Arabidopsis thaliana: one gene and its partners. The protein of the gene in region 3 interacts with the protein of the main gene of each other region in a pairwise test. Each region holds a gene or a part of one and is shown on either strand. Other genes may lie near its edges. The genes, in order: ZFP11, AT3G11580, AT1G16640 and VDD.

Region 1 (7,076 bases), on a different chromosome or scaffold from region 3:
AAACAGGTTGACTACTTTGCTGTTCATTTACGACACAAATTGTATGAATCAGTGAGAATTAGTGAATTACAAATACGTAAAATCAAATACATAATTCATCAGCCAGAATTTTGAATTACTTGTGCTTCAGTAGTCGTCGTAACACACTTTCCCTCTGATTTCTCTGCTTCAAACGAGCTACCAGAATTTTTCGCCATTACTCTCTCTGTTGGTGATTTGCTTGTAATTTAGGGTTTAAAGAGAACAAGGATGCTCTTGTCGTCTGCTGTCTCCCTTTTTCTAGCCCAATTTTATAAACGGCCCAGTAAAGCCCAATTACATAATCTGAGAGCATTAGTGACTTGTATTGGTTTCAAGTTTCATTCACACACACACGTAGATAAGAATTGGAATAAAGAATCAATGGTGTTGCAAATGTACCTTTGAAATATGAATACACCACTTCGTTAACAAAATCCTTGTGGTTTTAAAGGAGAAAAATAAAATGCAAAAATTTACAAACCCATCTACGATTCTATCAAGAAAAAGGGCAAAGACCAGACTTGTCCATATTAACACAACACATCAAAGATCCTATCTCTTCATAATACAGTCAGAAAGAAAAAAAAAAAGAAAACAGAGGTGGCGATGGCTCTTTTGTAGAATGCTGGAGACAACTTGGAGCTATTGTTGCAGGAGTCTTGAGTTAGATTACCAATAGCTAACTTCACTCCTTACGACCTTTGGTTGGAGGAGAGGGTTTGTCTGAAGCCACTTTAAACTGTCCCATCTTCTTCTGCAGATCAGCCAGAGGGTCTTTTGAAATCTTTCCCTTAGGACTCTTCTTTCCATTTCCTACTTTAAGTTCTAGGCGATATAACGCACATGCGTCAGATTCATTGATTTGGTATTCAAAGAGATGCCACTCAAAGGGACCTGGAGGTTGTGGATCCATATAGTAAGATCTCTTCTGGCCTTCTTGTTCCTTCATCAGTTGTTTTCTTGATTCATGCCAACCTCTTCCACTGTAATCTGGAAGTGATCTTTGCTTTCGGTTTCCGCTATCATATGCTCTTCTAGGTTTGTCAAAGAAGAGCCACTCTCTAATTGTTTCGCCTTCAACCAGTTCAAGATGAAATAGCTCTGCAAGTACAAAAAATTAAGGGTCAGGCAAAAGTAAGAAACTCACATAAGGCTTCTGTTTTCAAAGAGGCAACGAAATGTTGAACTAAAACAAAGAGAGAAGCAAAACTGGGCTCTAGTGGGACAATGCTCTCACCTGCTGCGTTCCATGGGCATTTTGTGTTAACAGCTCCTTCACACACTGGGATCCCAACATTCTTACCCTGAGTCTTTGCACGAAGAGCATCAATCAATAGATTATCTTTCAAACTGATGCCCCCTGGCCTCAATACAGGTGCTGTGCCAGGCGAATCTTCATTCAGAGCTAGAGTCCCATGGTAGTTACTGCAGTAATCCAGGTACCACTCGGAGCCCTGAGCAGGCCTTGTGCAATCCCATAGTGCACACTTAGGTCCCAGAAAAGCAGATGGAGGCACACGGACACTTGATGGAGTAGAAAATTCAGCAAAGTTGTCAATCTCTTCAGAAGAATCAAGCTTAGTGGAAGGGCTGTTATCTAGTTCCTGACGCACTTCGGAGAAAATATAATCATACTGAGAAGTTATATCCAAGTTGCTGCTGAGTTTTTGGTCATGGAAATCAGGAGCGGAGTTTATGCTTGGATCAAACCCTTCATATCCATAATGGAGTTGCTGGCCATGTGTTTCTGTGCTATTAAGAGCATCCTGAGATAGAAAAGGTGAACTTGTACATAAGGAAACAAAATCAAAACTAAGACAAGAATGAAAAAGATCAAAACTCATAGCTGAACTGGAATAAAGAATCAACGGTGTTCAAATGTCTAGGAACATCTAACCAACAATCAAAAGATTATAGAAGACAATTTTGACGCAGAAACTGTATCTAGCTCACCTCAAAGCCGCAGGAGAAATTTCCGTTGAAAGGACTTTGACTAAAATTCTCAGATGTCCATTCAGGAGGGCACAAGCTTTGAGAAAAACCCTCAGGATCAGGCTTTGCTCCAGCATGTTCTTTTAGCGTACTAGTTGCATCATCCTCCTCGTCTAATTTCAACAGAGGAGCAAACTCCTCAAGGAATTGGCTAATACCTTCACCCTGCAACATGTTAAAGACCAAAAGAGCTAAATCTCAACCAAGCTTACAGATTCACTATTTTTCAAAGAATTGGAACCATAAACCATAGAGAAGTATGGTAATGGAGTAGGACGAACCAACAGAGAAGATTCAGGAGAAGGAGCAGTGAGTTCAGCTTGCCACTCCCGAATATTCTGAGAGATTTGGGCTTCTAAAAGCGCAAGGTCACCATGCCGCCCTTCTTTCCTAGCAGCTTGAAGATGACAGAACCTCTCCTGAAGTTCCCTTAGCTTCTCCTCCACATTCTGATGCGCCGATGTGATCTTCGGGTGGTTTGACATCTCCTCTAAACCCTGACCAAAACCATTCTCAAAAATCAACTAAAATCTTAACCACAAAATACCTTAATATTCCGATTCTCATGAGGAAGGAAACAAACACATTACCTTAAAACCAAAGCAACAGAGATTGGTATCTCTCTCTCCTTCCTCCGATCTCTGGCTATTCATCACAAACCAAAACTGATTACTTAATGGAAGGTATTGAGCAGAATTCACGACAACAACAAAGCAAAAAAGCATTTTTTTAGATCAACCCAATCCTAAAACAAACCATCAGTTCCATTAGAGTCTATACAAACAAGCAAAATTTCAACCCTAAATTCATGAAATCGAACAAAACCCTAACATGAGTCTGACTAATAAATCCATAAAATTGAGAAGAAATTCGGATAAAGTTCATACTTTTTCGATATGGATGGATACAGAGAGCTTCTTCTTCTGATGGAGACGAAGAAGACACCGGAGATATCGCGATGAAGAAGAAGAACAAGGCTAAGTTACGCCAGCAAACAGAGAGCGACGATTTTGATTTTCTCGTTTTTATTTATGAAACGCCGCGTTTCATCTTCTATTGAGGGGAGGGTGTCTTTTATGATTTTCCCAAAAACAAAATTAATAAAAAAAAACTTTTAAATTTTCCAAATTCAATAGATATGCATTAACTAGATGAAGATTATTTTTTCAATTCTTAGAGATTGGTCAATTGAGAAAACTTTAATGCTTGATTAAGGAATGAGAATAAAATTTGATAAGTTAAAATTTGTCACACAATATATATTTGACAACCGAAATTGAGTTCCTCAACCCATAAAGTTGATATGCTGATAGGGTTATAATTCTATATCCACCAATTTTGTTTACACTTGTCTAGATGTGGCATACGATTGTTAGCGTTACTGGTTTATTACTTAGTTTTAAAGTAATATGTAAGTTTTCTTAGTTATGGATATAAGCTGCAATAACTCTGAAGACATCAGGGACGTCATTGTCTATGTCCTTAATGCATACACAAGCCTTGTTTCTTTCCTTTACAGTTTCTTCTAATCAATGTCAAAATCAATTAGTAATAGTTTTGGTTTCTTTTGGCCCTCCATCACTATTCACTACAATCTCTCCATATCAAAAAACTAAACACATGTTCATATTTTTAGGCTATCTTGTGTGTATATAATAGATGTTCAAATATATATAATGAAGAGATTTGTGGAGCCAGAGATGGAATATGATGAAAATGAAATGGCAAGTTATCTCCCTGCAAGATTTTGACACAAAATATTAATGCAACACAGAGTTCCCATACCACAATAACATTGGTCTCAAGTAACTTCCAATTATAGTAACAAGCAGACACATTGCAGGCATATGAGCATCATGAGTTAAGTAGCCTCTATTCAATTCCTCTTTCTCTCCCTCTTAATCATGAAACTACCTCTTTGTCTCTTTCTTTCTCTCTTTTTATTTTATTTTTTTAAATAATTTCCACTCATGATATCTAATCGAACATAGCCTAGCCTATACTCATTATTCTCCAATATATCTGACCAAACATGTAACAGACTTAAACCCTAATAAATGATCATCCGTACATGCACCTCCTTCCTCAAGTAAGGATAAAAACCACCTTCTGTTTTTGTTTCCCTTTTGACTCTATATAACACATAGTAACTCCTCCGTAGTTACATTCTTCCTTAGTTCCTCATCAAACTCAAAAATCTCTATCTATACGGTTTTCATCATCCCCCACTCTTATTCTTTCTCACTTTTGAATTAATATATACATACATAACATCTTAGTTTATTTCATGCAGGGGAGTATCATACTATCTTCATCATTCACCACCAGCATTGATCATCATCTGTTGGAAAATATGAAGAGAACACATTTGGCAAGTTTTAGTAACAGAGACAAAACCCAAGAAGAAGAAGGAGAAGACGGTAATGGTGACAACAGAGTCATCATGAATCACTACAAGAATTACGAAGCTGGGCTGATCCCATGGCCTCCCAAGAATTACACTTGCAGCTTCTGCAGGAGAGAGTTCAGATCTGCTCAAGCACTTGGAGGCCACATGAATGTTCATAGAAGAGACAGAGCAAAACTCAGGCAGATCCCTTCTTGGCTCTTCGAACCTCACCACCACACACCTATTGCAAACCCTAACCCTAATTTTAGCTCTTCTTCTTCCTCTTCAACAACAACAGCTCATCTTGAGCCTTCCCTAACCAACCAGAGATCCAAAACCACTCCTTTTCCTTCTGCCCGGTTTGATCTTTTGGACAGTACTACTAGCTATGGAGGTTTGATGATGGACAGAGAGAAGAACAAGAGCAATGTATGTAGCAGAGAGATCAAGAAAAGTGCCATCGATGCATGTCATTCAGTAAGATGTGAGATAAGCCGTGGGGATCTGATGAATAAGAAAGATGATCAAGTCATGGGGTTGGAGCTTGGGATGAGTTTGAGGAATCCCAACCAAGTTCTTGATTTGGAGCTTCGACTAGGCTACCTCTAAATTCTTTTGATTAGCTAGTATTTGTACTTCAAAATTATATCTAGTATAATCATGTTTAGCTGAGCAGTACGTGAGCTAGAGATTGTGATTGCATTCAGGCTAATGGTATTAAATAGTATTAGGCTTAAATTTATTGGAAGTCAAAATGAAATTAAAGTTGAAAAAATCTCCATATGATTTTTTTATCAAGAGTGTTCAACAGTATATGTGTTATTTTCCTAGTTTTTTCAATCAAGAGAAGATTTTTAAAAGAAAACAACGATGTTATAATTTTTTAACTTTATTAATTGTGTTATTATTGGTTATAAATTTGTCAATTTCAATCATCCCTAATGTTGTTATACAATATGAAACTGTGTAGTAGAATTACGTGCAGTATAGAAGCTAGAAATTAGGATTAGAGAAAGTGGGTTGCATGTGTATGTGAGTATTAAGAAAGACAAAAAGTGATAAAGATTGCATTATTATAGAGATGGGTTGATGAGACACAGACGCATGCGACAAAGTGGTACTATGAAACATATAAAGATGGATGATGATCAATTGACTCATGAATAGTTAATGTTTTCATCTTTTACACTCACCATCACATCTTTATGTATAATTACATATATCTAGCATTTCTCATGCATGTCGTGAAAGCACTTAATGGTATGTGTGCGTGAAAAAAATGAAAACAATTTTCTCATTGTTGAGAAAAATGTCTTTAAATTATTCCACATTCAGTTTATATATAGTCGAAAGCCTGAAGAACCGTTGGAAGATGGAGAATTCAGAGTTGTGAATGTGACTTTGATCAAATTCGTGTGCCTAAACAAACGAGAGTTTGTTAATCAAATTAAATGCCAGGCTAATATCTAAATATGCCTCAGTCAAATTCAACCACTCATATTGACCAACAAAATGTTACTATTAAATTAAAACAATTTTATACTTCTTTGATTCATCACACGTGTGAGTGTGGATGGATATGTAGTTCAAAAAGAGACTTCATCCCTAGTTATTTCTTCAAATAATAATGTCTCTTTTCGAATATACAATCAAAAACCATTAAATTTGAACAATATTCAATTTTGATGGCATGTGATTATACTACTTTTTTTGGTCATGGAATTCAATACCATATCAACTATATTTATACTAAACATGAATGAATGTAGAGAGTACAGACAGATCAAGAGCCAAGAGTGTAGGAGACAAGATTAGAAAATTAGAAAACAAGTGATGTGAAAAGGAAACAAGAAAATGGAATGTTTGGTCAATACATTTGGGATGTTTGTGGTTTCCCCATGAACAAATTTAATCTGACATTTTCCATCTTCCCCAACAATTTTAATTTAATATATACAATCCATCATCACCTTTCCTTTTTTAGAATCGATCACTTTCCACTCTAATCTCTACGTTCCCTTCAATTCTTCCCTTTTCTATGAATAATAATTACAGTGAGTTTATTTGTGTTTGGGTGATGTGAAAGGTAAGAGATTTTCATCATGCAGCCTAATATTTTTCTACTTCTTACAAATGTATCCCCAAGTTTTAGTGTTTCTTACAATAATCACCTTCCGTTGCAATTCACTGTCTTAAATAGATTTGGTTCTAATTCTAAGTTCTAACTTCTAGTTATGGTGAGGAATTTATTTGAGCAATCCTAGAGATTATTTGGCTAAAACTGTAAACACTTATAGGTTTTGTTAACTGTCCAATCACATTGACTTCTGTCTCTATCTCAAAATCACATGTTTTTAGTTATGTCTTCTCACCGGTTCATTCCAACCCAAGAATCTTTTTATTTTGTCTGAGGTGATTGTTCTGATGGAACCGCGTGACATACAAAATTATGTTCTCATATGAATTATGATAGAGTAAAATGTGATAGAGTTTGTCATCCTTCGACCAAAGAATACAAAAGAAAATTGAGATGTATCAATTAGTGTGCGAGGAACCTATAAATTTAATCTTTGGAAACGCCTGGACATCGAAGCACCAGTGGTCTAGTGGTAGAATAGTACCCTGCCACGGTACAGACCCGGGTTCAATTCCCGGCTGGTGCAATTTTTTTAAC
Region 2 (8,912 bases), on a different chromosome or scaffold from region 3:
TGAATAGTCGCATACGTCGTCGTTTCCTCTTTCCTTCGTTAGGGTTCGGGGCGACAATAAGAATCCGAAACAGAGATGAGGCTCGAAGCCGGCAAGATCAACGACGATAACAGAGAATATTAGGAAGGTGATGAGAAGAGAGATCCCAACAAATATATGTTTCTTGATTTTCAACGTTGAGAAGAAAGGAGACGAAGATAGAGAGAAAATCTCCTTCAGAGGATTTGATTCTTGATGATGATCCATGTATGTCGTATAGAAGAGACGTGAAAATGTGAATATGCTGCGATCTTCTTTTGCGAGAGAAAAGTCTTAATAAATATGTTTCTGTAGGGAAATAAATTCGTTAATAAATTAATTTATAGATCCATCATCAATTCATCCATGTGACAGACAAAAGTATTAATGCAAATGCATCCCACATAATTTTATTAACGTATAGTAATAGAAGTTTACTCCCATGTTCGTTTCTACTATATCTTTTAGATCGAGACGAGTTTTAATTTCCCAATATATTAAAGCTGTAGTATAGCAAACTAATTTCCTTATACATCAATTTGATGATTCTGAGTATCTAATCTAATGATAATAATCAATGCATTGTCCTAATCGTTATTCTATGATGAAAGATAGTTGATGAGAGATTTAAGTTGAATTTCTTCGCCTACCATATTAATATAGATAAGGAATAGCCCGCAGATATAGTGTATATAGATATAATTAATTAAATTGGACCGAACTTTTCGGGTATGGTCGAGTATCCATTACCACCACTCACAAGTAGCACATGCTGATTTGCTTTACAATTTCAATATTTTTAAAAATCCCTATTGGTGAATCATTATACTAAAGAGCATTAATGGGAATGACGAAACAACTATAAGAGTGAAGAAACAAACACTAAAAAGGCATATTAATATGAAAAGGTTCATACAAGTATGTGAAGACTTTACCTTCACAAGATGGCTTTGATTTAATTACGAGTCCGTGAACTTATATAAACAAGGGAACACTATCAAAAGTAATAAAATCTTCTCTTTTCTACATGGAAATGTTTCAAATGACAAAGGTAATTACTACACTCTGTATGATTTAATATCCGAAAACTCTTTAATTTGAAGAGCACTAAAGAAACCAAAGAACAGAGAGAAGAGGAGAAACAAGAATTAGAGAATTAAAAAAAAAACAAAAAAAAAATAGAGAATAAAGAAGACTAAAAGTCATGATTGTTTGTTTGTGTTTATGCTTGTGTTTGTGTTGCCGTTTTAGAATGTTTTAATCATATATAGAAACAGAAACTTGCGTTTGTGTTGCCACTTACCATTTACCAATACACTCATATATATGCAGAAACACGAAGACAAACATAAATGCATAGAAAGAATTGGGACCTAAACCCATTTTTGTCATAGCTTGTAAAAATGATTCATATTCCTTTTACACTGTCTTTGTAATGCAAAAACAAAATAGAGAATCAAAAGAAGAGTGTAAGTAACACAGCAACAAATAAAATGGTCCCTGGCTTTGGCTTTGGAAAAGAGATAAAAGGCGATGTAACACAACCTATATATTTACACACATGCTATATATGAATATGCTCTCTCTTCTTTAATCATTCGTAATTAGGCCCACACCTTTTCTTCTCGTAATCTCCTCACATGAATCTCTCAACAGTTCCCAATTCATCTTTCATCATCAAATACATGCTACATGTGTATAAGGTTTAGCCTAGGCCTAGCTCACCAATTTGGGGTACCTGCCCTCAAATGACTTTTGTGCTATAGAAAGCTTTCATTGGTTTTATTTTAGCCTTCAAATATCAACTACTATAAACCCACACTAATTCACATCTTTTGCATATACTTTTTTTTTCTGTTCTGACTCAAATGTACAATAGAAACAAAATCTCATCTTTTATTTTTATTTTCAAATTAGTTAAATACTAAATACATAACGAAGCTACTAATAATATTAATTCTTGTCCATTTTTTCTCTATGACAATTGGGCCAAGTATGGGCCCATAATCTAAATTCTAAAGTTAAAAATCTAGAAAGTTGTCACTTCTTTTTGAATGTCAGTCATCAACCTCGTCCATCTCCTACCTGCTCCAATGCTTCCCCAGCAAATGATATATTCTGTTTCACAATTCCAACACGCAATTTTATTATTTTTATTATCATCAAAAACAAATTGTACACCGAATTGTATAGAATAATATGAAAAATAAAACTATCTTTAGTATTCACTTTATTTCATTAATTTAAGTATACAAATATATAATTCTAAGCATTTCAAATTATATCTGAACATTACAAAACATGGTAATAAATTCAAAACTTATGTCATTGATAAGTTTGTAATGCTTTTAGTCAGTTTTGCTTTCCAGCTTATTAGTCAATAATTTGGTTTCACAAAAAAAACTGACGGTGCCTAACAAATTAGAATAGTAAAACCAAAATAGAGACTGTTTTCACAGGAAACTATATACTTACGGCTGATATTAATTAATGAACAAAAGGAGGCTACAGAGACAAAAGAGTAAACAAAACAAATCAAAGTAATCAAATAAAAACCAAATTGGCCATGTGGTTTTACAGTCAAGTGTATAGTATTATTCTCTCTGATTCCTCCTTTATATAATTTATTAAACATAAAAATCTCTTTCAGGTCTATTTTAAAATTACTAATTTTCATCTGTCTCGTCTCGAGAAACAGCCACGACATCTGTTTAATAATTATATCATACGTAAGCAAAAATTTGAATCTGACAAAAATGTAAAAAAAAAAAATATTTACCATGGGATGAGGAGTTGAGTAATAGTAAATGTGTTGGTCATTATAGACATCAGGACGCGGTGGTGGCTCGACGGCATCACCATGACATTCGAGGTTCACGCCAAAAAGCCTCACCGTCCTCGAGCTACCTGCGACCACCGGTGGTATCGACTGAGCATGATCAACGACGGCGCCTACAATTTTTTTCCACCGTCAAGACACGTGCGCATCTTTTAGTTAAATTGTTTTTTTAACATAGAATTAAAAGGAAGAAATAAAGGGCACGTTAGTCTAAGTGGATTGGACGGTTCTCCTCACGCGCATGTAACGGATTAGTTACAACTTGGAGAAGATTATTTGAAATTGTCGGGTCCAAAATTAAATAATAAGAATGACAAAAATAAAAGACAAAATGTTATTTCATGTTGTTATTTTATATACATTACACACGCAACTAAAATAATTGTCATATAGTTTTAGATAACTCATTTGCTTTTTATAAGAAAGATATTCCACCAGCTAACTAAAATGGTTGAGCTTTCCAAGTGCTTGCCCTAACCTTTAAAAATTCTCATATTTTGTTTATAAAACCAAATAAAGATGAATGTTCTTGTTTACTACCATATAAAGTAGGCAGATAATCTAAAATACCATGCATAAAATATTAATCTCTATTACTTTTTTTAAGAGAACATGTAAATATGCAATACAAATTACGAATCATCTATTTTTATGAAAAAGACAAATCTTAAAAGAGAACAGAGAGGAGTATAAATCTGACATATAGATAAGAGAGAAAGAAAAAACAAAAGAGGAAATAAAGGGTTTGAATTTACCATAGTGTGAATACTCTTGGTGAATATTAGGGTAAGTAGTTGACGCGTGTACTTGACGATAAGGTGTAGTCAAGCCGCTCCAATACGCCGTCGTATTAACTAGAGCTTCTTGAGACACAACGGAGACAGCGGGAGAGGAAGAAGCTTCACCGCGTCTCCGCCAGCCAATGAAGAGTCTATGGAGATCAAAACGGTGACGTTGAAAGAAAACAACGTCGCCTGCGTCGAGGTGTTTGTCTTTGACGTACCTGCTCCATCCTTTGGTCAACACGTAGCTTTGGCTACTGTTCCAATAAGAGTATCTGAATTTCCAACACTTGCCTGACTCATCCTCGAAGCTAAGAAGCATCCCTTTCTCCGTCGTCGCCACGTCATCTCCGCTGCCGCCATTATTATTATTATTATTGAGAGGGAAGTATTTCTCGGCGTGTTGTTTTGGTATGACTAAGCGGTTTAGCTTTCCGACGTCGCTTGGTGTGAGTGATTTCTCGAACAAAGACTCTCGTTGTGCTATAGCTACGTCGTTTTGGTGGTGATGATGCAACGAGAGAGTGTTGTGGTAATGGTTGACTGACATCTTTTTTTTTGGTTTCTTGGAGTGAGAGAGAGAGAGAGGATTTGCAGGTGTTGGTTTGGTGGTGAAAGAGAGATGGGTAATGGTACTAATATAGTATTATACAAAGGAGAGAGACAGAGAGTGAAAAAAATTGAAAATGGTTAAATTGATGTGAAAACTGTGGGAACTATTTGATGAGGAGAGGACGACACGATACCGATAGTACTTTTAAGGTTTTGCGTGATGATATTTCCTTTCAATCATTATTTTTATTTTTTTCTCTTCTTTTCTATATTGTTGTTGCAGTCCATAATCCATATATATTTAAAAATGTGGTATTGTTTTTTTTTTTCTCGTCTGATAAAATCTTGTCCTAAACGGCATTGGATCCACGAGTGTTCTATAGTTATAGTGTAAAAAAAGAGTAAGCCACACAAAACGCCGCGACGTAACCCTTTAATTAAAGTTGAAAAGGTTTTGATCATGTAGAAGAAGAATATGTAATTATTTATATATTAGTAAAATTTGATGTCTTGGAATGTTATAAGTTCAACATATGTTATTTCAGCATTGCCGGAACTAAATTCGAAATCCTCCGGAGAAAAGATGATTTGTGTTTTCTTAATTAAAAAAGTTTCAGTATTCACCGGATATGACGTATTGATTAGCAAGATTCTATAGACTGTCAAAGCAGATAAACCTTACATATCAAGCAGCCATAAATATGTGGATTGCGTAAGTCAAACAATCCTTTATCATGGACTCATGTGGTTTGCAATTACTTGATCAGATCCTCATTGGTTTCTGAAGGATTAAATTTCTCTCATAAATGGTTATTTGATCATTTACTCTTGTATGAATTTTCAGCTGAGAATCTTACTAACTGCCATTAATTTATTTGCAAGACAAAGATAGTCGTTTTGTTTTTCTCAACCATTTGGTTCGTGGAATTGATGTGTCAGTATCTTTTGTCTATAAACGTAAAAATAATCTTTTGACAATTAAATTTTGTTAAAGTAGGATAAGAAATTAACTAGAGATAACACCTTCCTATGATATTTAGTTTGTAAATGAATCTATGAGAAATTGAAAACGAAAACAAAAACAAAAAGAGAAGGTAATGAAGAAATAATGAAGGATTAAAGATCAAACGGTTGAGAAGTGAGGTGGTACATATTACGCAAAAGTAAGAAGGTACAGAGGATACTTATCCCTGACGCAAGTGAGAAGCTCAAGTTGTGTAGCATGTGCTTTGCCTTTCCGACACACCATCGCATGCATCTTCACTTCTACTTCATACCATCCCTTATGTTCCTCTCTCTCTTTCTCTTTCTCTTTATCTACATTTTATTCTCTCTTTTTCTTTTCCTAATCATTTTATAATCGAGAGGGATAAAGACTTCAAGATTTATTTGTGAAATCGACTTGACCTTTTGGCACTCTTTCTCTTTTTTTCCTTTACAATATTGAACAACGTAACCATCCTATACTTCGACGCTATTTAATGCTCATCAAGCTGTGATATTTGACCAAACATATAAGTCATGAATCTAGATGAGAAATTGAGAACAGTGTGAAACATTTGATCAATTGTAGAAGAAAAAGTTCTAACTAATATATCTATGGATCGCAAGTCAACAAGTAAACAAACATTTTGGTCTAGCTAGATGCTTGAGTAAATGTTGTTTTCTTGTTTGATGGGTAAATTTCCATCTGTAGTTATTACCGTGCATCTTAAGTCGTGAGTTTCGTATATAATTCTGTGAATATAAGTAATATAACATACCAAGTCTACCACAAAAATCAATGGGACGTGCAAATGGTTACGTGAGTGGTCCTCTTCTATTTTATTTGACGAATTTCTCAAGTATCGTTAATTTTATTTAATATCTTTATCACTTGTTAATTATAGGATCATGAAATATCTGTCACGTGCTTTCAGGAATATCATTGGTGCTTACACGTTTCTATTTTTCCTAATTTTCTCGCAAAACTAAGACTAGTGATACTATTTCATATTTGTTTTCATGAACCATTTCCTCTAAGAAATGGTTCCTCTCACAATTTAACTCACCTAATTGGGAAGCATTAACGATTAAGAGCATATTTTGTAAAAATTTCCAATTCACGTTTTGTAAAAGTTTTCGTTGAGGTCAAGTCTTGTGACTGTTATAACAATAGTATAACAAATAGCCGAAACAACTAGGGTTTCCAAATTCCAAGATAATTGTAAGAATAAAAGAAAAAAAACAAAGATATAAGATTCGTTATATTTGACGTGTTTCACTCCTCTCCTCACACTTAATCGATTCAAAATAAGTGATATAAAATAAAATAAAATTTGTAGTGATCCATGTTAATTATGTCTAAGATATGTCATTGTCAAATATTAGTTTTGCATAATTAAAAGAGGCACTGAAGGACAAACTGACATGATTTTCCAGGTCGATTTAGAGGCACCTTTTTGCATGTACGTCTGCAACTCGACCCCATTAATATCAAATTAAACTAACTCTTCAATTCACTATAAGTTAAAGTATTTTATTTTCGTAAGTATATTTTCGAATAAATATTGAATAAAAGTAAGACTAGTCTAATTGTTAAGTATTAATTCATGAATATAGCACATGTTTGGGGGACATATCCCTTCCCACGAATAATAGAGGTTGTTGGTCGCTTGCTTACTTCGTCTTTTTTTCTACTAAAAAATTATAAGAGAAAACAGGTGTATCAGAATTTTTTGTTTACGCATCGTAATTTTTTAAAAAATAAACTATACTACCGACGTCTCCCATCAAATATTAAGCTTTCTTTTGTAAAATGGCGATTTTTTAGAAGTTACTATATATGAACAGCCTATCTTAAATGAATGTATTACTAGACAATCACTGATCCAGTAACCACTGACTGATTAGATTCCAGGTTTAGAAAAATAAAATTTAACAAGATAAAGAGTTTCTGTTAATTGGGTTTGATTTACTAGCTTCCCGATCCTAGCTAGTCAATAATGCTAAATCATGTATTCAATCACCTAACTAAATTGATTTGCGTCGTATAATTGACCTGTCACACTTAGTGTACCTACATCCTAGAGCAAACCTCATTTCTGATTTCATAATGTATTATGGAAGAAATTACATCTTTTTAATATTAGAACATATATAAGACACAAACACAAAGTTGACTGAAATCTTCTAATTCATGTTATTAGTTTGGTAATATTAACGAATGATACTCCATCCGTTTTCTTTTAAAAGTTTTTATTTGTTCATATTATTTGATTTTTTTCAATTCACTAGACAAAGTTTATGTTTATTTAAATGATCATCCAAAATCTACAGTACTTGCTTTCATTGGTTGAATTATTTTTGGTTATATAATAAATCACATTTTATTAGTTTTTGTGTTTTATCTAAAATATTTTAGAAAAAGTAACGGAAGGAGTACAAATTAGTACTATTAAACAAAATTTCATCGTGATTAACATTCTCATAGTCAAATATTTTTATTACCCTTCACAACATTTCATCGTGATTAAAAAATTGTTTAGTGCAAAAGAAATGTAGATTAATGAACTTGTGATATTAATAAACACATGTTAATTTTAATTAGTTTAGCCTCTTCTGCGAACAAACTTTCCAACAAGACTCTTAATCACATTAATCGCCCTTTTCAACAAACACTACAGCTTGTCTAGATACGTCACCGAACGATGCCACAACTTTCTCACCAAACTCGTCAATTCAACTTTTTTAATATGATGACTTTTTCCTGTTATCAAAATCCATATAAACCCTATAAACTTAGCTACTTTATTGATTAAAATAACACGATTCCCATACTTCTAACGAATGCGACGTTGCCTCTCAAGCACAGATCCAAAAAAAAACGTATTGTATTTTTTCTTTCCATAATTGGTTTTCACCACTACTATTTTTTTTTCCTTTTTTGATAAAAACTACTATTGTTTATTTCAATAATTTGTTAATGAAACCTCTTTAAGTTTGAAATATTTACTCCTTAATAACAGAAGAAATGAAGTGTTCGAAAGTGATTTTTGGTTTAGATCACAAAACGACTGGAGAATTTTGTGACATTTAGAGGTCATAGCTCGAAAAACGGAGATTGTTACTTTATGCGTGTATTCCAGAAATACGACAAAAATAATGTTTATTATATATAGTCATGGCGTTTGGACGAAATAACAAACAAATCACTCAGTTTTCCACGATCACATAATTTACGTGACTGTTGCATTAGTGGAAAATAAATAACAAAGCAAAACAACTTACTACCACAAGTTTTAAAACAAATGTTTTAGAAGATTTCCACTTGGCTGCTTGTACCATCTCTTTTTTTTTTTTTGGATCTAAGGCCGCATGTGCCATCTATATATGTAATATCACAAAACATTTTTGGATTTGAAATTACAGATTAAAGTGTGTTTCATGGGTATATAGACATATTACACGACATAGACACGAATATATAGGATTATAATGATATCTTGAGCACAAAGGAAAGACACGAGAGGAATCTGCCATGTAATTCGTGGAGGGTTCCTAAAATGATAAGTCTGCAAAAAAAATTTTGATAAAAATGTTCAGAAGACGACAAACCTAGTTTGTCATTTATGGAAAGTGAATGGTGCGAGAAGCTTCATGAAACTCAGGGGTAAGTTGCTACTTTTGCTTTTTATTTTTCTATTTCTGACATTTTCACCATTCCCTAGCAAATTAAAGAC
Region 3 (7,375 bases):
CTGTGGATAAAACACGGCATGTAATCGTCATTGGAACATCTGGGCACTTGTTTCCTGAACTAACAGAGAAGAGGTTAAGTAGCATTCACAAGTCTAAAATACCAGAACTGTGCACAAAGAATTAGGAAAACAATGAGCGACTCTTCAAGCTAAAAATGGAAAGAGACATCTGATACTTGGTAAAGGTTTGAAATAAACTTATAATGAGCTAACCCCTTACCCAGATTTACGCATCTGTGCTGCAAAATGCTTTTTTATGCGTGCTGCGCGTGCATCTGTTACCTTTCCATGATGAGAGGAAGAATCGATTGCAACCACTGAGTGCTTATATTGGAAAGAGAGAACCTGCGCTAGATAACCCTGGACAAAACATTTACCAATGATGTTATTTAACACACTTTAGGAAAGCTATAATATACTACAAAGTTACTAAAACTCTGATATGAAAGAAAAACCATCACTCGAAATATTCCTTAAACAGCCAAAAAGAGAATTCACCAATGCAGACGAGAAAAAGGAACCATGCAATTAAGATTGATAGTTAAACAAGAGAAAGGGATTGAAGATACCTGGCCAGCACCGACATCAACAACAGTAGGAGCTCCAACACTCTTAACAACTGAGCTAACAACAGAGGAAAGAACTTCAACCTGCATGATACCATAATAAGTGACCTACAGATCCATTCAAATGAAGTGGCCAGTATAAGATACATTTGACAAATACCTTACGTTTAAACAAACATAAGTTTTGTACTAAGAAACTTTTATATAAAATGCTATGAGCTGTTAATGATCCTCAATTTCATGTTTTACGCGTGAAGTGGCAGATAACTTTGCCAGAATTTGATGGTAAAAAGACTTGAACAGCTACAAAAAAAATATATACTCTCTTTTGAATTTAAGGTTCTTGGATTGGGATTAGTCACCAGATGCAATCTACTGAAATTCCTACCAAAACAAGACATCATTGAAAGACACGACTTGCACCTCTGGATAGTGAAGTGTGAAGATAAAAATGTACCTCATGTTTTTTCTTAAGATTCATGCCCTGTGAAAGAACGGTGCTAAGAGGTACCATATCCACGTCTGCGAGTATCTGCCAACAGTCGAAAATGATTAAACTTTATTTAGTCTAGGATCTAAAAATACTAATCCTGAAACAGCACAAACAGGTAAAGAGAATACAATACCGCCTGTAAATCCGCTTGCTCTCGAGGAAACGATAGAGACCTCAACGTGTGAACAAATTTCTTTAGTGAAGCAGGCCAGTGATCCTATAATCAAATACTATAATCAATCATCTCCTTTCCAAACTAAAATAAAAATCTACCCTTTCTATCAAATATCTCAATCATGAAGACTGAGACCAGAACTTTACCTGGACACCACCGGAGGGAATAAGAAGAATATTTTCCGGCTTCTCATCCTTTAAGCAACTCATCCATTCCTCATTAACAGCTTCCCATTGCTTATCCTGGAATACAAACCCATCAATCAACTCATAACCCAACTCGAAGCTGAATTTAAAATTGTTTCCGATAATCGATCATACCTTGAAGAAATTGACAACGTGAGCATTGATTAGGAAAGAAAACGGTTTAAGGAAATCGATAATGGCTGTGATCCATTCTAGGGTTTCGGCTCTCGTTTTGCAAGAAAACTTATTGCTCTTCATTATCCCGATGACCTGAGTAGCAGCAACGATTCTAGTTTCCGCCGCCAAAAGCCAACCAAACAGCAAACACTTGCTTTTAACCGTCAAAATGTTTTCTAAAAATACCTCGTAAATTTTAATTTATTCAATTTAGCCCACATTTATTTATTCTGTTGTCAATACACCCATATTGTCACGTGGCCGAGTCTTCAAGAGACTCTAACTGCACCGGAAGGTTTTGACTCATGCCCCCTCCTACACTTCCTCTCATTCTCTTGTATTAACACTCTACTTCACCAAATACAATTATCACAAAAATGATAGCAATACACAGTAAATCTTTTAAACCATGTTCCAAAGAATGTAGCAGAAAGCAAATACTAGTATTCGTAATATTTAAACTAAACAACTGGTTACATAAATCCAACATGAAAACTGACTACTTAAACTTAAAGCAACTTAAAGTAGACCCAAATTTTAGTTACTGATGTTTGTCTTGATCGTCGCCGTCTTCTTCTTCTTCACCGTTTTCATAGTCATCAACCTCTACTGCGACTTGAGGGAAGTCTCTATATTCGCTACACATGTTATGACCATATATGATAACATAAAAGGTCCTGTCGCGGTCATAGATGAACTGCAAATACTTGCCATCTTCGAGATTGTTATCTTTTACAAAATTCTCCCAACCAACTGTAAGAAACACTTTCTCTCCTCTTTTCTTCATCCTAACCGTCCAAGATCTCCCACTATAGTCCAGGAGGTCCACAGTTATTGGAAATGGTGCTGGGAAGTATTCGTTGAATCCCAAGGGGATTTCCTAATCAAACATTTATATATAAAAAAACAACTCTCAGGAGACATTCCAAGAGCAGCAACGTAGAAACAATGGACTTGCTATTTTTCACTTTTCAGCCCCGCAGAAATGTTTGGTTCAAGCAGCCTATAACAACACCAACACATAAACTTCATTCTAAATCTAGCAAGATTCAGTAAGCTTTCATTTGCTTTTTGCTAATTTAAAGCTAACAAAAGCAATTAAAGGACCTAAGTTATTAGCTCCATGAAAATGAACTAAAGCAATTTACCCTAAACCATAAGTCTCCAAATCAGAACACTAAACACATATTTTGAACTTGTTGAAATAAGAAAATAAAAAAGAAGAAAGATAGAGAGCCATGCTCACCAATGATTTAGATGACTTTTCTGAGATGAAAGGCTTCATAAATTGAACCTCACCAGTGTCAGCCATGGAATAGAGTGAGACCAAATGTAGCTACAAGCAAAATCCAGAAATTGAAATGAAGAAAACAAAGAGAAGTGAAAGAGAGAAACCTTGAAAACAAACACTTTTTGTAATGCAGAAACAGAGAGAGAGCTTCAATGGTCCCGAGTGGACTATTTCAATTTTCTCTGTAAATCAAAAAGATGAAATGAGGAATTGATGTCATAGTCAAACAACTTGCCACCTTTTGACCAATCACTGCTTTTCTATTCTACAAGGCCACACCATACAAAAAGTACAAAACCAAACTCTTATTACTATTGGGCCAAATTATACAGCCCAATAGCCCAATAACGAGCTGAGACAAATCCTATCGACCTAGAAGATCCAACTTAAAACCCTAGAGTTCTCTCCACTATTTAAAGACCTCAAATCTTTTGATGTACGACTCAGAATTCTTCGAAACAGCGTCTGCTCTAGAAATTCAGTGTTTTCTCGAAGCTTCATTACTATTTTCTAGGGAAAAATTTAGAAGTTATTTTGTCTATTGTGTTGTGTTTTCTTAGATTTAAAGTCGATGTTTTACTCTTAATAAAGAGGAGAGAGCGGTGATAATGATGATGAAAGATGATTCCATAGAACAATCCAACTCTGACCATCATTGATGATCTTACCATCATGCACTACCATCTGAATCTCGCTCTCCCTTAAATCCTTTTCTTTTAGTATGAAATCGTTGATTTTGTTTTCTCAGAATCGGATTTTGTCGGATCTTTTAGTTTTGTCTCAATTTGCCTTAAATCGATTGAGAAAAATTCATCATTGGTTGATTTGGTTCTAAGTATTTCATACCAAAGTTCTGATTGTTATTTCTGTTGTTAAATTGATTTGGTATTTTTTTCTTCGTTTGCGTTCATAAGTCATAATGCAGATTTAACTCATATCAACAGGTTGATATTCAATAGCAAAAATTTGGCCTGAAAGAAGGAAAAGTAATCCCCTCAGAATTCAATTCTCATGGACTAAATTAATCTAGAAACGTAATTGTAACAATTGTCTAGAACTATTTTGATGGTAGTTATTCCGAAAACGATTAGTTCTGCAACATGAACACTCATCTTAATTAATCACTTTCGCAGATAATCGCAAAATAAGTTATAAATCCATAAAATTATGAAAGATATTCTGATTTGTGTCGATGAGGTTCACACAGATGTGGTATTTGAGGATGACTTTTAGAAAAGGATTTTATTTCATTGGAACTCAGAAAATAATGTAAACTGGGCCTATTTAGTTAGCCGATGACCAAATTTTCTTTAATGTCAGTCAAAAGCCCGTTAAGTAAAAACCTTCAACATAATTGGTGCTTTCACTTTTTCCATCAGTGGACGGGCCCAAAGCCTGCTTTTCTGATTTACCTGTCTTTTTAATAGGTTGATTAACGTCTCTTACCCTTTACGAGAGCCCATAACGGCTAGTTTATTCTCTGCGATCAGACGTGTCATCATCGTGGCGGCCCAGTTACATCGTCTGCTCTATTTTCCGGCTACAGAAATTGAAATTTTGTTTTAATTTGAACCCCAAGGTTTTGAGAATCATTAATTTCTTCCCACTGTTTCTACATTGTCCATAAATATCCACGTTTATAAATTTAACAACTTTACAGGAAGAAAGAGGAATCAAATCTTACGTTGTGAAGTCTTTAATAAGCATGGGGCATTTAGATAGATCTTAAATTTATGGGGAGATAACAGAAATTTGGAAAACTAGGGTATCAGTGAAAAATGGTCAAAATCAGAATCAATTTGCAATACTTAAAATTATTAGGGATTTTTCTATCCACTATGTATAAATAAATCGCAAATTGGCAACTAGCCGTTACGATCTCTCTATCTCTCTCTCTTTTAAAAATTCAAAAACTTAGGAACTTTTTACATTCACAATCTTGCAGATTCTTGCATATTTTCTTTCCTTTAACGAGCGCAAAAAATCTGAGATTTGTTAAATAACCCATTCTGATTTCCGGAGTGATTTTCATTCATGGCGTCTTCTCCAGCAAAGAACAAGATCTCTGTTTCTCCTTCTTCTCTATTCTCTTCCTCTTCGCCTTCAATGCCTTCCAGACCAAACCCTAAGCAAAGAAACTCGGAAACCGGAGATCTGATGCGTCGCAGTTTCCGAGGCAATCCATTTTCGGCAGATCCGTCCCGGAGAAACTCAATCGGTAGAGAATGCAGTAATCGTGTTGAGATTGGTGATAAAGAGAATCAGAACGACAAGGATCAAATCGCTAATGTCGTCAAAGGTCCAACAAAAGGTTCCAAGCATTTCATGTCACCGACAATTTCAGCCGTTTCCAAGATCAATCCATCGCCGAGGAAGAAGATCTTGTCTGATAAAAACGAAGTGTCTCGATCCTTTGACAAATCCCATCACCAGGTTCAGGTAAAGTCGTCTGTCTCGTTTTCTGATGTGATAAGCATCATTGGGGAAGATAAAGATGTAGACCAGATTTGCATCGATGAAACTAAGCAGCTTCGTGAAGAGGAATCACATGATATTACTGTCAGTGATTTCGATGAGATTCTTGAGAGGAAGAGTAATGATAATTCAAGCTTCAAGATCAGTCCTCTTCCTCCTTATGTTCCATGCACATTTCCTGTGTTTGAGTCTCATGAAGTGGATCCAGTGGTGGCACCTTATGATCCAAAGAAGAATTACTTGTCACCGAGGCCTCAGTTTCTCCATTATAAGCCAAATCCAAAAATTGAGCATCGTTCTGATGAGTGCAAGCAGCTTGAGGAGCTTTTCATCTCTGAAAGCTCTTCTTCTGACACTGATTTGTCTGCAGAACGAGAGGAGGAAGGTCAACAAGAGGAGGAAGTTGCTTCTCAGGAAGGTGTAGTTGCAGTAGAAGAACAAGAAGATGATGGTGAAGAGCGTTTGGAAGCCGCAGAGGAAATTCTGGATGTTGATGGTGAAGAGCGTTTGGAAGCTGTAGAGAGTGATGATGAAGAAGAAGAAGTAGTAGTTGGCGAAAGCATTGAAGAAGAAGAAACTCATCAGATTTCAAAACAGTCTCGTTTCAGCAAGACATCCATGTTGCTTGGTTGGATTTTGGCTCTTGGTGTGGCGTATCTGTTGTTGGTTTCTTCAACGACGTTTTCTCAACAAACCATCACAGATTCACCTTTCTATCAGTTTAACATCTCTCCAGAGATCATAATGTCTGCTAGCGAGAACTTTGAGCAGTTGGGTGCAAAGCTGAGGATGTGGGCAGAATCATCATTTGTGTATCTTGATAAGCTGGTCTCAAGTCTACGAGAAGAGGAGGGAAGTGTTCCTTTTCAATTTCATAACTTGACAGTTCTTTTGGAAGACAAAAGGTTGTCTGATGCTGTTTTCCAGTCAACTAGTGTTGAAATCATTGTTGATGGGTTCATAGTGGATAGCTTAGAAGTGGATATAGAAGAAGTGAATGTTGGTCATCAGGAACCTGAAGAAGAATCGGAAAACAGTGGTGAAATCAGTCTTGAAGCTGTCTACGAAGAAGATGATAATGAAGTCGAGCAGGAGAATGAAGAAGGAAAGGTAAACTTAGAAATTGTTGATGAATGTGATGAGCAGGCTGAGATCAAGATAGCTACAGATACAGAGGTGAACGGAGGTGAAAGGTATTCAGAATCTCTTTCTGAAGAAGGACATGGTGGCCAAGAAACTGATGTTGTTGAAGGGCAGGAAGAATATGAAGAAAATGACCAGAATAACATGGAAGAAGCTGAATCCGACGCACAACTGCTTGACGATGTGCAGTCTGCTGCAATCAGTAGTAACCAGCAAGAACAAACCGGAGTAGCCAATGTTGAAACTGTACAAGAAGAAGAAGGTGTTGGGGAAATTGCTGGAGGTAGCCTCAGTGTTTCAGAAGAAGCTACAGATGTTGAACATGACGGTAATGAAGTAGAAGAAGAAGAGAGTGGGTTTGGTGAAGTTGTTAATGATGCAGGTTCGGAGGACATTTTGTTGAGTGGCCAGAAGAAAGTGTTAGTCTTGTTTTCGACTATGATGGTTATACTTGCAGCAGTAGCAGCTGGTTTCCTATTAGCCAAGAAGAAGACAAAACCTGTGATGCTGCAACATGAAGATGGCGAACCAACAGCAATCTCTGCAACTAAAGTTGTCGAGCATGTGCCAGTAGAGAATCTGATCAGAGAAAGGCTTTCTTCATTGAATTTCAAGGAAGAAGAAGAAGAAGTTGGTGATGACAGAAAAAGAGAGGTATCATCATTCCCTTCTGAGATGAGTTTCAGCTTCAGTAAGAACAAACCATTACACAGCTGCAGCAACAAGAAAGATGATCTTAAAGAACATCAAAGCGGAGGAGGAGGCAAGAAGAGTAATGATAGCGGTGAATCCATGGCTTCCTCTGCATCAGAGTACTCCATAGGTTCTGTTTCATATGGAAGTTTCACAACATATGAGAAGATACAAAAG
Region 4 (7,899 bases), on a different chromosome or scaffold from region 3:
TTGTGCAAATGCTAGCCCTTCTTCCATTAAATCTTTCAACCAGGTGACTCTTCATTTCTATTTTCAGGATAAGTTTGTGGTTTGATGATCCCTTGTTTCTAAGTCTCTTGATTTGTGAACAATTCAGGGTTTTTATATATCTGTATCTGTATTTCTGAGTTGGGTTGAGTTATTGGCTTCATGCTGACTAAACATGTTTGGCCCTGTGTGTTCTTCGAATTTCATTTTAATTGCTTGATGGGTTTTATTGACTTGAGTAAAAGTGTACTACTTTATAGGTTTTAAAAGAGTTTTACTTTTGGTGATTTTCCAATGGCTTTGAAGAGAGAGATTTAAATCATGGGGTTACTATGTTCTCATACTGCGTTTGCTCTGTTCTGTTGTTTTTCTTTCAGTTGATTGAAACCTTGATTGATCGGGTTGATCTATCTGAAACTGAGGCTGAATCATCTCTTGAGTTTTTGCTGAATGAGGCAAACGAGGCGCTGATCAGTGCCTTTCTAGTTCTTCTGAGAGCTAAAGGAGAGACATACGAAGAGGTAAGTATCCATTAAGTCAATCTAGGCTTATAATAAAAAAGTATACATAATCCTATATTACTGCACTTCAATAAGTTAACTCAACGTTCACTTTAATTCGGATATTGGGTAGATTGTGGGGTTAGCTAGGGCAATGATGAAGCATGCCAGGAAAGTGGAAGGATTAGTTGATGCTGTGGACATAGTTGGAACAGGTGGTGATGGAGCAAACACAGTCAATATATCAACTGGATCTTCAATACTTGCTGCAGCTTGTGGTGCAAAAGTAGCAAAGGTATAACGAATGAGAAAATCCTTAAAAGAAACGATATATTTAAATTTTGACTATCTGCATTAATGCTAAATGATCTTCGTCTGGTCGTCTAACTAATGGATACTTATTTTGCAGCAAGGGAATCGTTCAAGTTCTTCTGCTTGTGGAAGTGCTGATGTACTAGAGGCACTAGGAGTGGTTCTGGACTTGGGACCAGAGGGCATTAAAAGATGTGTTGAAGAAGGGGGGATCGGTTTTATGATGTCACCAATGTATCATCCAGCTATGAAGATCGTTGGTCCTGTTCGGAAAAAGCTTAAAATTAAAACTGTTTTTAACATATTGGGACCTATGCTTAATCCTGCTAGAGTTTCTTATGCTGTCGTTGGTGTATACCACAAAGATCTGGTACATTTACTTATTGCTGAAATTAGTTTGTTCATCAACAAAAACAAGACATTTACTTACCATTTGCTTGTGTGGTTTCATAGGTTGTTAAGATGGCAAAGGCACTGCAACGATTTGGAATGAAAAGAGCACTGGTGGTTCATTCATGTGGTCTAGACGAAATGAGTCCGTTAGGTAAGATTATCTCTTCCCAAAATTGATTACTTTTATTATTGAACAATTATTAACCAATCATGGCTTAACGAAAAACAGGAGGAGGACTAGTTTATGATGTAACTCCGGAAAAGATCGAAGAATTCTCATTCGACCCATGTAATGTTTCCTCTAGCTTTTTATCCCTTCTCTAAAATGAATATTGCAGATGCAGCTTAATGAAATTGAAGCTTATTTCTTTTTGACAGTGGACTTTGGTATTCCTCGTTGTACTCTTGAGGATTTGCGAGGTGGAGGTCCAGACTACAATGCGGATGTGCTAAGACGTGTGCTTTCAGGGGAAAGTGGAGCAATTGCGGATTCATTGGTATGTTTTGATTTGCCGATTCAACATTCTCTGAACTTCTGCAATTTGTTCATCCTTTTTTTTCAAAATCTTGTTTCAGATCCTAAACGCAGCTGCAGCTCTTCTGGTTAGCAACCGAGTTCAAACGCTAGCTGAAGGAGTAACCGTGGCACGTGAAGTACAATCGTCTGGGAAAGCTATCAAGACGCTTGATTCTTGGATAAACATCTCAAACTTAGCTCAGAAATCTCAGTGACCAGAAGAGGCTTATGATATTGTTGTATTCAACGGATCACCTTTGCAAGCAATTGTAGATGAAGATGGAGGCAATGTGCCAAAGGAAGAAGCTGGAGTTATTTGTAACTTAAGTTTTCTTTGTCAAACAATAAAGAGAAGAGACCGGAGCGAGCTCTATACACATTCATCATGTAAACACTACAACAATAATCTTTAATAAAATGAATAAATCTGTTTTACTCAAACGGAGTTCAGATTCATCATTGGGATACAAATCAAACCTAAGTAGTAAGTAGAAAAACAAAATTATAAAATTAGTCCTAACATTGAATCACAGACCATAATCTTGTTCCGAAGTTCTTCACTAATTCTGCAACTACACCTAAAATATCATCATCGTCATGGTGTCTATTCTTTGGAGACTTTCACACGCATCTCTGTCGGTTTGATGAGCTTGAACGTACAAACATCTCCGACCAGTAAACCTAACTCCTTGGCCAAACGACTCCATCCACCAGAGAATCTTGATTGTACATCAGTGACCACATATGTAACATCCCATGACTTCTTTCCTCTCGGATAATGAATCTTGAACATCGTTGTCTCAGTTGGCATATGCATATCCACAAATTTCTTTGGGATCCCCTGAATCACAGATTTTCATTAGATTAATACACACTTTTATACATAGCCATTTCGACAGTGTGTCACTGGTCTTGTCTTGCTTAATCTTACCAAGAACAGAAGGTGTGATTTCTTTATGGTGAGCTTGAATTCTGGAATAAGAGATGAAGTACCGGCTTCAGAGTCGTTACTAACAGTTTCCACCTTCTTCTTCTTACTCGTCTTGGATTTTTCGGTTTTATCGGCTTCCTTCTTTCTCAAGTTAAGCTCCTGTTTCTGCGTCAATCTCCCACTTGTAGATTCAGCTGTTTTGTGACAAGGATGGCTCGATTCAGACCAAGACTCTATCTCTTCTTCCTTCTTCACATCTTTGTAGATGCTCTTCCTCTCTTCTCTCTTGTTCCGACCTGTTTGCATCAAAATCAACCACAGAAGTAACTAATGACTGTATTCTTCTTCTTCTTCTTCTTAAGCATAAAGAAAGCAATAACATAGATGATGAACACTTACCGGAACTAGAAGTAATGGTTTTTCTTGGTCTAAGCATCTCCGTACCATCTGCCTCGAATATGGTTACATTAAAGCACATATTTGCCTCATGAGTGAAAGTAAGATACTCGTTTTCACCCAAACCGTTGTCATTCACAAACTGGTTCCATCCACGATCTTCCATGTAGTGAAAATTTGGGTTCTTGGAGATTTTAACTTGCCATGACCTTCCCCATGGTACTCTTAAGACCATCTTAAACGATGAAGACTTGTCGGAGATGCTTCTTATCAAGTGATGAGGAATCATTCTCTTCAGAGAGGCAACAAAATCAAGAAATATGGAACATCAGGAAATGGTAAAATGAAGTCACATTCCTCAATTTCAGTGATAAGTACAGTAAATAAAAGTTTACTGATCGATGTACAGTCAAAATCCATTTGGTCCGATCCGATCATTTCACACATCAAAACTTAGTTAAGACCAAGAACAGACAGATCTAAGTTCAGGACACTACAAGAGACACACTGAAGAACCAATAGATTCGATCTTTAATTTAAGAAAAAAGGCTAATAAGAAAATAAGTGATAAGGCTTACCATCATTTCAGTCGAATGATCTTCCCTTCGAAGAATCTTGAAGAATGCTGGATTATCTCTTTCTTCCATAATCTGACCAAAAAAAGCTTTGTTTTTCACCATCTCTGCTTCTCTCCTTCGATATGATCTTTCTTCAAAACCTCTCAGTCTTAACTCTTTAATCCTCTTCACTCTATCTCCTCAGTCACTCACTCGCATCTTCTCTTTTCAACTTTTCTATCTCACTCACTCGCTACTTCTCTTTCTCTCTCTCTGGTTGTGGGCAAAGAATGGGTAAAAAGAGAGGTCTCTTAAAACTTTAATTTCTAAAAACAGCCAAAGTGTTTTATTTTTCTGCATTAACTTTGAAATTAATTTTACTTGTGGTTAGTTGGAAAAGATTCCCATGAATCATTAAACTTTTGTGATTCGTAATTTGATATCGTAATGATACACAGAAACAGCAATATGCTCGTGACTTCCCAGACACGTAAAAAGCAGAGCAAATTCCTATTTTTAGTAACTGAATTCTAAAAAGACAGCGTCATATTTCCATATTTTTTTTTTTGGTTGCATAAACTATTAATTAACTTATACTGTACTAAAATACATTCACGGCAAATTTTGGTTAATCACCCATTTGAAAACCTCATTCCTAATATTTACTAGCTAGTCTGTAGAATGTAGACTTGTGTCCAGCACATACCCCTATTAACTTTATACAAGCTACATGTTTGAAAACTTAGCTAAAAAAATAAAAATACTACAGACTATACATGTTTTTTTTTGGGATCAAACTATAGAATATACATTAGTACTCTAAAATACCAAAAGAAACATGCATATATGTATATTCAGCGTAACAGATACGTATCAATAAATCATTGAAGAAAGGGATCGGATCCAGTCCACATCAACCCTAACTAGTGCGTGTCTCTATAGTTTTCCTTTTTGGGCAATGTATACTTGTCTTTATTATTTGGAAGGAGAAAGCAATGTTATTTATAGAATAAAATACAAACAGAAGTTTGGAATTCAAAAGTAAATTTCTTTTCCTTTTTGCTTGACAATATCTTGAAAACTATAATCAAATGTCACTGGAGACATCAACTAAATGTAACCCCCACACTATACGTAAGAGCCAGCCACTGATAAATTGTGTAAGTTAAAAGTGGTCATTTGTTATTTGTTTCCGTCTAATTCAGAGTAGCAAACAAATACTAAAACCGGATCTGAAATTCTCGGTTAGAGTAACAAGAATCCCGAACCGGGGGTAGTGCATCAAAAGGCAAAAATTGGAAATAAGCAGGTAAAACAAAAAGATATCCGGAATAAAGTTCGGGGGATTGAACCCGACGTGAATCGAACACGCAACCTTCTGATCTGGAGTCAGACGCGCTACCATTGCGCCACGGATCCGGATGTTAGATGTTCCACTTAATTGTTTTTAATCAACATGAAACTATAATTAGAGTAGTTTTTTGATTGATGAATTTGGTGTCGTCTTTCTTTTTCAATGAGCGATCAAAAATGTATTGACATGAAGTTTGTATATAACATTAATTTTGTATTTCACTTTCTACACTTTTAGAACAACTCTTTCAAGAAGAAAGAGAAAAAAGCTCATGTATTTACAATGAATAAGTCTATTTCTAACTGAAGGAAAAAATGTTGGATCATCTTCATTGGAGCCGAGAAGTCACATTGATGAAAGTATCTTCGGGACAAGGGATCGTTAAGCCACCCATCGGATGAGCAAACCCAAACTCTTCTTCGGATTTACTGAGCAGAGCTTGAAATGACGGTTGGCTCAAGTATGAGAGCGGCACCAAATATCTCTTCTTCTGGCTCTCTCCTACGTACACCGCAAGAAACCCTTTTGGTGCCGCAGATCCTGCTGCGGTGGAGCGGCTTAGAATCTTCTTTGCTCCCAATAGACTTCTCACGAAAGCCATTTTTATTTTATTTTAAATAAAAGAAGTTTGAATTATTATGAAGCTCTTGAAGATGTATGAAAAGATTCAAGTTATTGGAATGCTTGTTGTTGGTTGATGATAGAAATAATGGGGTTATGGGTGTATATATAGAAATATCAATGAACGATTTGAAACTTCTCTGAAAAAGTCATTGAAACTGTGGTCTTGAAGCGTGGGACAGACTAGAGCAAGAGTTCACATGGTTCTGTCTTTACCATCTGGAAAAGATGCATTAATGAAATTTATCTACTTAAATAATCTCCATGTGAAATTTCACAAGGGCTTGCTTTCTCAATGTTTCTGAGATAAGACGTGCCCTATATTTGCAAGAACAAAGACAGCAGGTTCTGTGATGATTAGGTGGTTGGTTCTTTGTCCTATAGTACTCTAATCTCTGCAGTCGAAATGGATTTATTAAGAAGTTAAAGTGGGGACCTGAATGTTATTCAACAACAGAACAACAATTCAATGTCACTCTCTAGTTGTTCTTTGATTATATCCACACATGAAAACTAAAAGAGACTGAATACCTCACTTCTTCTCTTCATTTATTATACAGACATGGAGAAGACAGACCCTTGTGAAGTGATGATAATGCTCATTAGCTTCCGTTGTCAACTTGTCATCTATCATACCTAAAAAACAGAACCATGTGAAACTATCTTTGTGTATGTCTCACCCCTACTTTGAATGGTTTCAGGGTGATTTGAAGTCTTTTATCAATCTATTTATACATCCAGAGACAGAACCAACTCTTCACCAAGTAGTGAAGCAATCCAGACCTCAAAATTTTGAGCATCTAACTTTTTCTCAGAAGCTTCAAATTTAGATTTTCCAGACTCAAGAAATGGCTTTGTTCAGAGGCCTCTTGAGTTCAAAGAAGATTATCGGCTTTTCTGTAGAGGCTACAAGCAAAAGGACAGTTTCAACACCTATTTTATGTAAAACTATTATTTTATGAAAATCTATATTTGGAATATAACCAAAAATGTATATCAATATGATCCTGCATAGTAAAGACACTCACTTAATAACCAATTTTTTTTCACTTTCTCACATCTTAGAATTGATGTTTTGAGAGTTTCGTATACTACAAGAAACCCTTTTTAGCACTCCCTGAGCGAATTTAAAAGCCTCTCGGAAATCTTCTGAAACTTGTGGATGTAAGAGTGGACACATAAGAAGAGAGTTTAGATGGTTTTGTCGTCCAGATGCTAACGTGATAAATGAATGTGGATACAAAAGACGAGCAACGATAAGCTAAACTAGACTTCATGAGGGTTTGAGTTCGCTACATTTGCTTGTGGTTCTTGGTTGTGATTTCTCTGGTTGCTTTTGTCGTACGTCCTGATCTTAATATTTGAAGAAGGAGACGTGGCTCACTTGACAAATGCTAGGAACAGACCAGTCTCGGGTTTTACGGATCTTATGCAATAGTCTGCATGCAGTATCCAGTATCCACATTAATTGTTCTATAACATGTTATGATAGTAAAACCATAGGAATGATCACAAATCATGACAAGAAAAGCCTAAGGAAATCAAAGAAGCTTAATATCGCATAAGTGATTAATAGCATTGAGCCATTAATGATCTTACAACAACAAGAGTCTCTCAATGTTATTTGGGAAAACATCGAGATCATTGAGAGAATCGAGTCTGAGCCCTTTAAGTCGTCTATATAGGTCATTTGCAATTCCTTTAATTTTGGTTACTCTAATACTCTTTCTCTTTGGATCAAAATACACCACATGGAAGGATTCATACACACTCATTGGCGTATAAACAAACTCACCAGCATCAGTAACACCCTTCAAAATTAAACACGCCCATTCTTTGTCAGACAGAGGAAAATTCAAAGACATAAAGAGACATATTTCAACACCAACGGCCATGGAACAAGGCCACCTACACCATCATCTTCACAACCTTGAGCTTCTCCAAAACATTTCTCATTGGATCTCATGATAAAAAGCCAGAGAAGTAATAAGCAAATGGCTGGCAAGTTCTGTTCTTGATTGTGATTCTCTGCTTGATTTTGTCCGTTTTTGAATATGAATAAGCAAACGTGGCTCGCATGAAAAATGCTAGAAACAGAGCAGTCTCTGTTTATACAGACTACAACAATAGTTTGCACTATCCACATTGTTATATAACATGCTGGGATAAATATCTTGAGATTAAGGAATAATTACAAATCATTACAAGAAAACCTAAAGACATCATCAAACAATCTCAAAATCTAATAAATGAATGATGAAGAACTAGCATCGAGCGGTGAATGTTCTTACAAGGACAAG

The links.
Region 1: the proteins of AT1G16640 (region 3) and ZFP11 interact in a two-hybrid assay, tested with the Arabidopsis thaliana proteins (one large-scale study listed by BioGRID).
Region 2: the proteins of AT1G16640 (region 3) and AT3G11580 interact in a two-hybrid assay, tested with the Arabidopsis thaliana proteins (one large-scale study listed by BioGRID).
Region 4: the proteins of AT1G16640 (region 3) and VDD interact in a two-hybrid assay, tested with the Arabidopsis thaliana proteins (one large-scale study listed by BioGRID).

What each region holds. Positions count from the first base shown.
Region 1 is NC_003071.7:17,653,784-17,660,859, forward strand, and holds ZFP11 (zinc finger protein 11), read left to right. Parts: upstream 1-4,040; 5' UTR 4,041-4,084; coding exon 4,085-4,102; exon of another isoform or gene 4,103-4,224; intron 4,225-4,305; exon of another isoform or gene 4,306-4,306; coding exon 4,307-5,011; 3' UTR 5,012-5,193; downstream 5,194-7,076. Other genes in the region: AT2G42395 (uncharacterized protein), read right to left, coding at 1-19, 120-197; VOZ2 (vascular plant one zinc finger protein 2), read right to left, coding at 707-1,122, 1,259-1,787, 1,975-2,178, 2,295-2,498. UniProt on the Arabidopsis thaliana protein: Probable transcription factor that may regulate cell division and growth.
Region 2 is NC_003074.8:3,647,083-3,655,994, forward strand, and holds AT3G11580 (AP2/B3-like transcriptional factor family protein), read right to left. Parts: upstream 4,408-8,912; 5' UTR 4,190-4,407; coding exon 3,613-4,189; coding exon of another isoform or gene 3,497-3,612; exon of another isoform or gene 2,971-3,496; coding exon 2,432-2,970; 3' UTR 2,137-2,431; coding exon of another isoform or gene 2,083-2,136; 3' UTR 1,878-2,082; downstream 1-1,877. Other genes in the region: TBL8 (TRICHOME BIREFRINGENCE-LIKE 8), read right to left, coding at 1-246.
Region 3 is NC_003070.9:5,682,296-5,689,670, reverse strand, and holds AT1G16640 (AP2/B3-like transcriptional factor family protein), read right to left. Parts: upstream 3,147-7,375; 5' UTR 2,909-3,146; coding exon 2,843-2,908; intron 2,477-2,842; coding exon 2,138-2,476; 3' UTR 1,944-2,137; downstream 1-1,943. Other genes in the region: AT1G16650 (S-adenosyl-L-methionine-dependent methyltransferases superfamily protein), read right to left, coding at 1-59, 221-360, 570-674, 1,024-1,098, 1,193-1,276, 1,381-1,476, 1,555-1,677; AT1G16630 (uncharacterized protein), read left to right, coding at 4,922-7,375.
Region 4 is NC_003076.8:5,957,727-5,965,625, forward strand, and holds VDD (VERDANDI), read right to left. Parts: upstream 3,917-7,899; 5' UTR 3,748-3,916; coding exon 3,646-3,747; intron 3,388-3,645; exon of another isoform or gene 3,360-3,387; coding exon 3,071-3,359; intron 2,968-3,070; coding exon 2,672-2,967; intron 2,582-2,671; coding exon 2,345-2,581; 3' UTR 2,174-2,344; downstream 1-2,173. Other genes in the region: TRP1 (tryptophan biosynthesis 1), read left to right, coding at 1-43, 396-539, 652-813, 928-1,200, 1,284-1,374, 1,453-1,512, 1,602-1,720, 1,800-1,955; SAUR19 (SAUR-like auxin-responsive protein family), read right to left, coding at 5,307-5,579.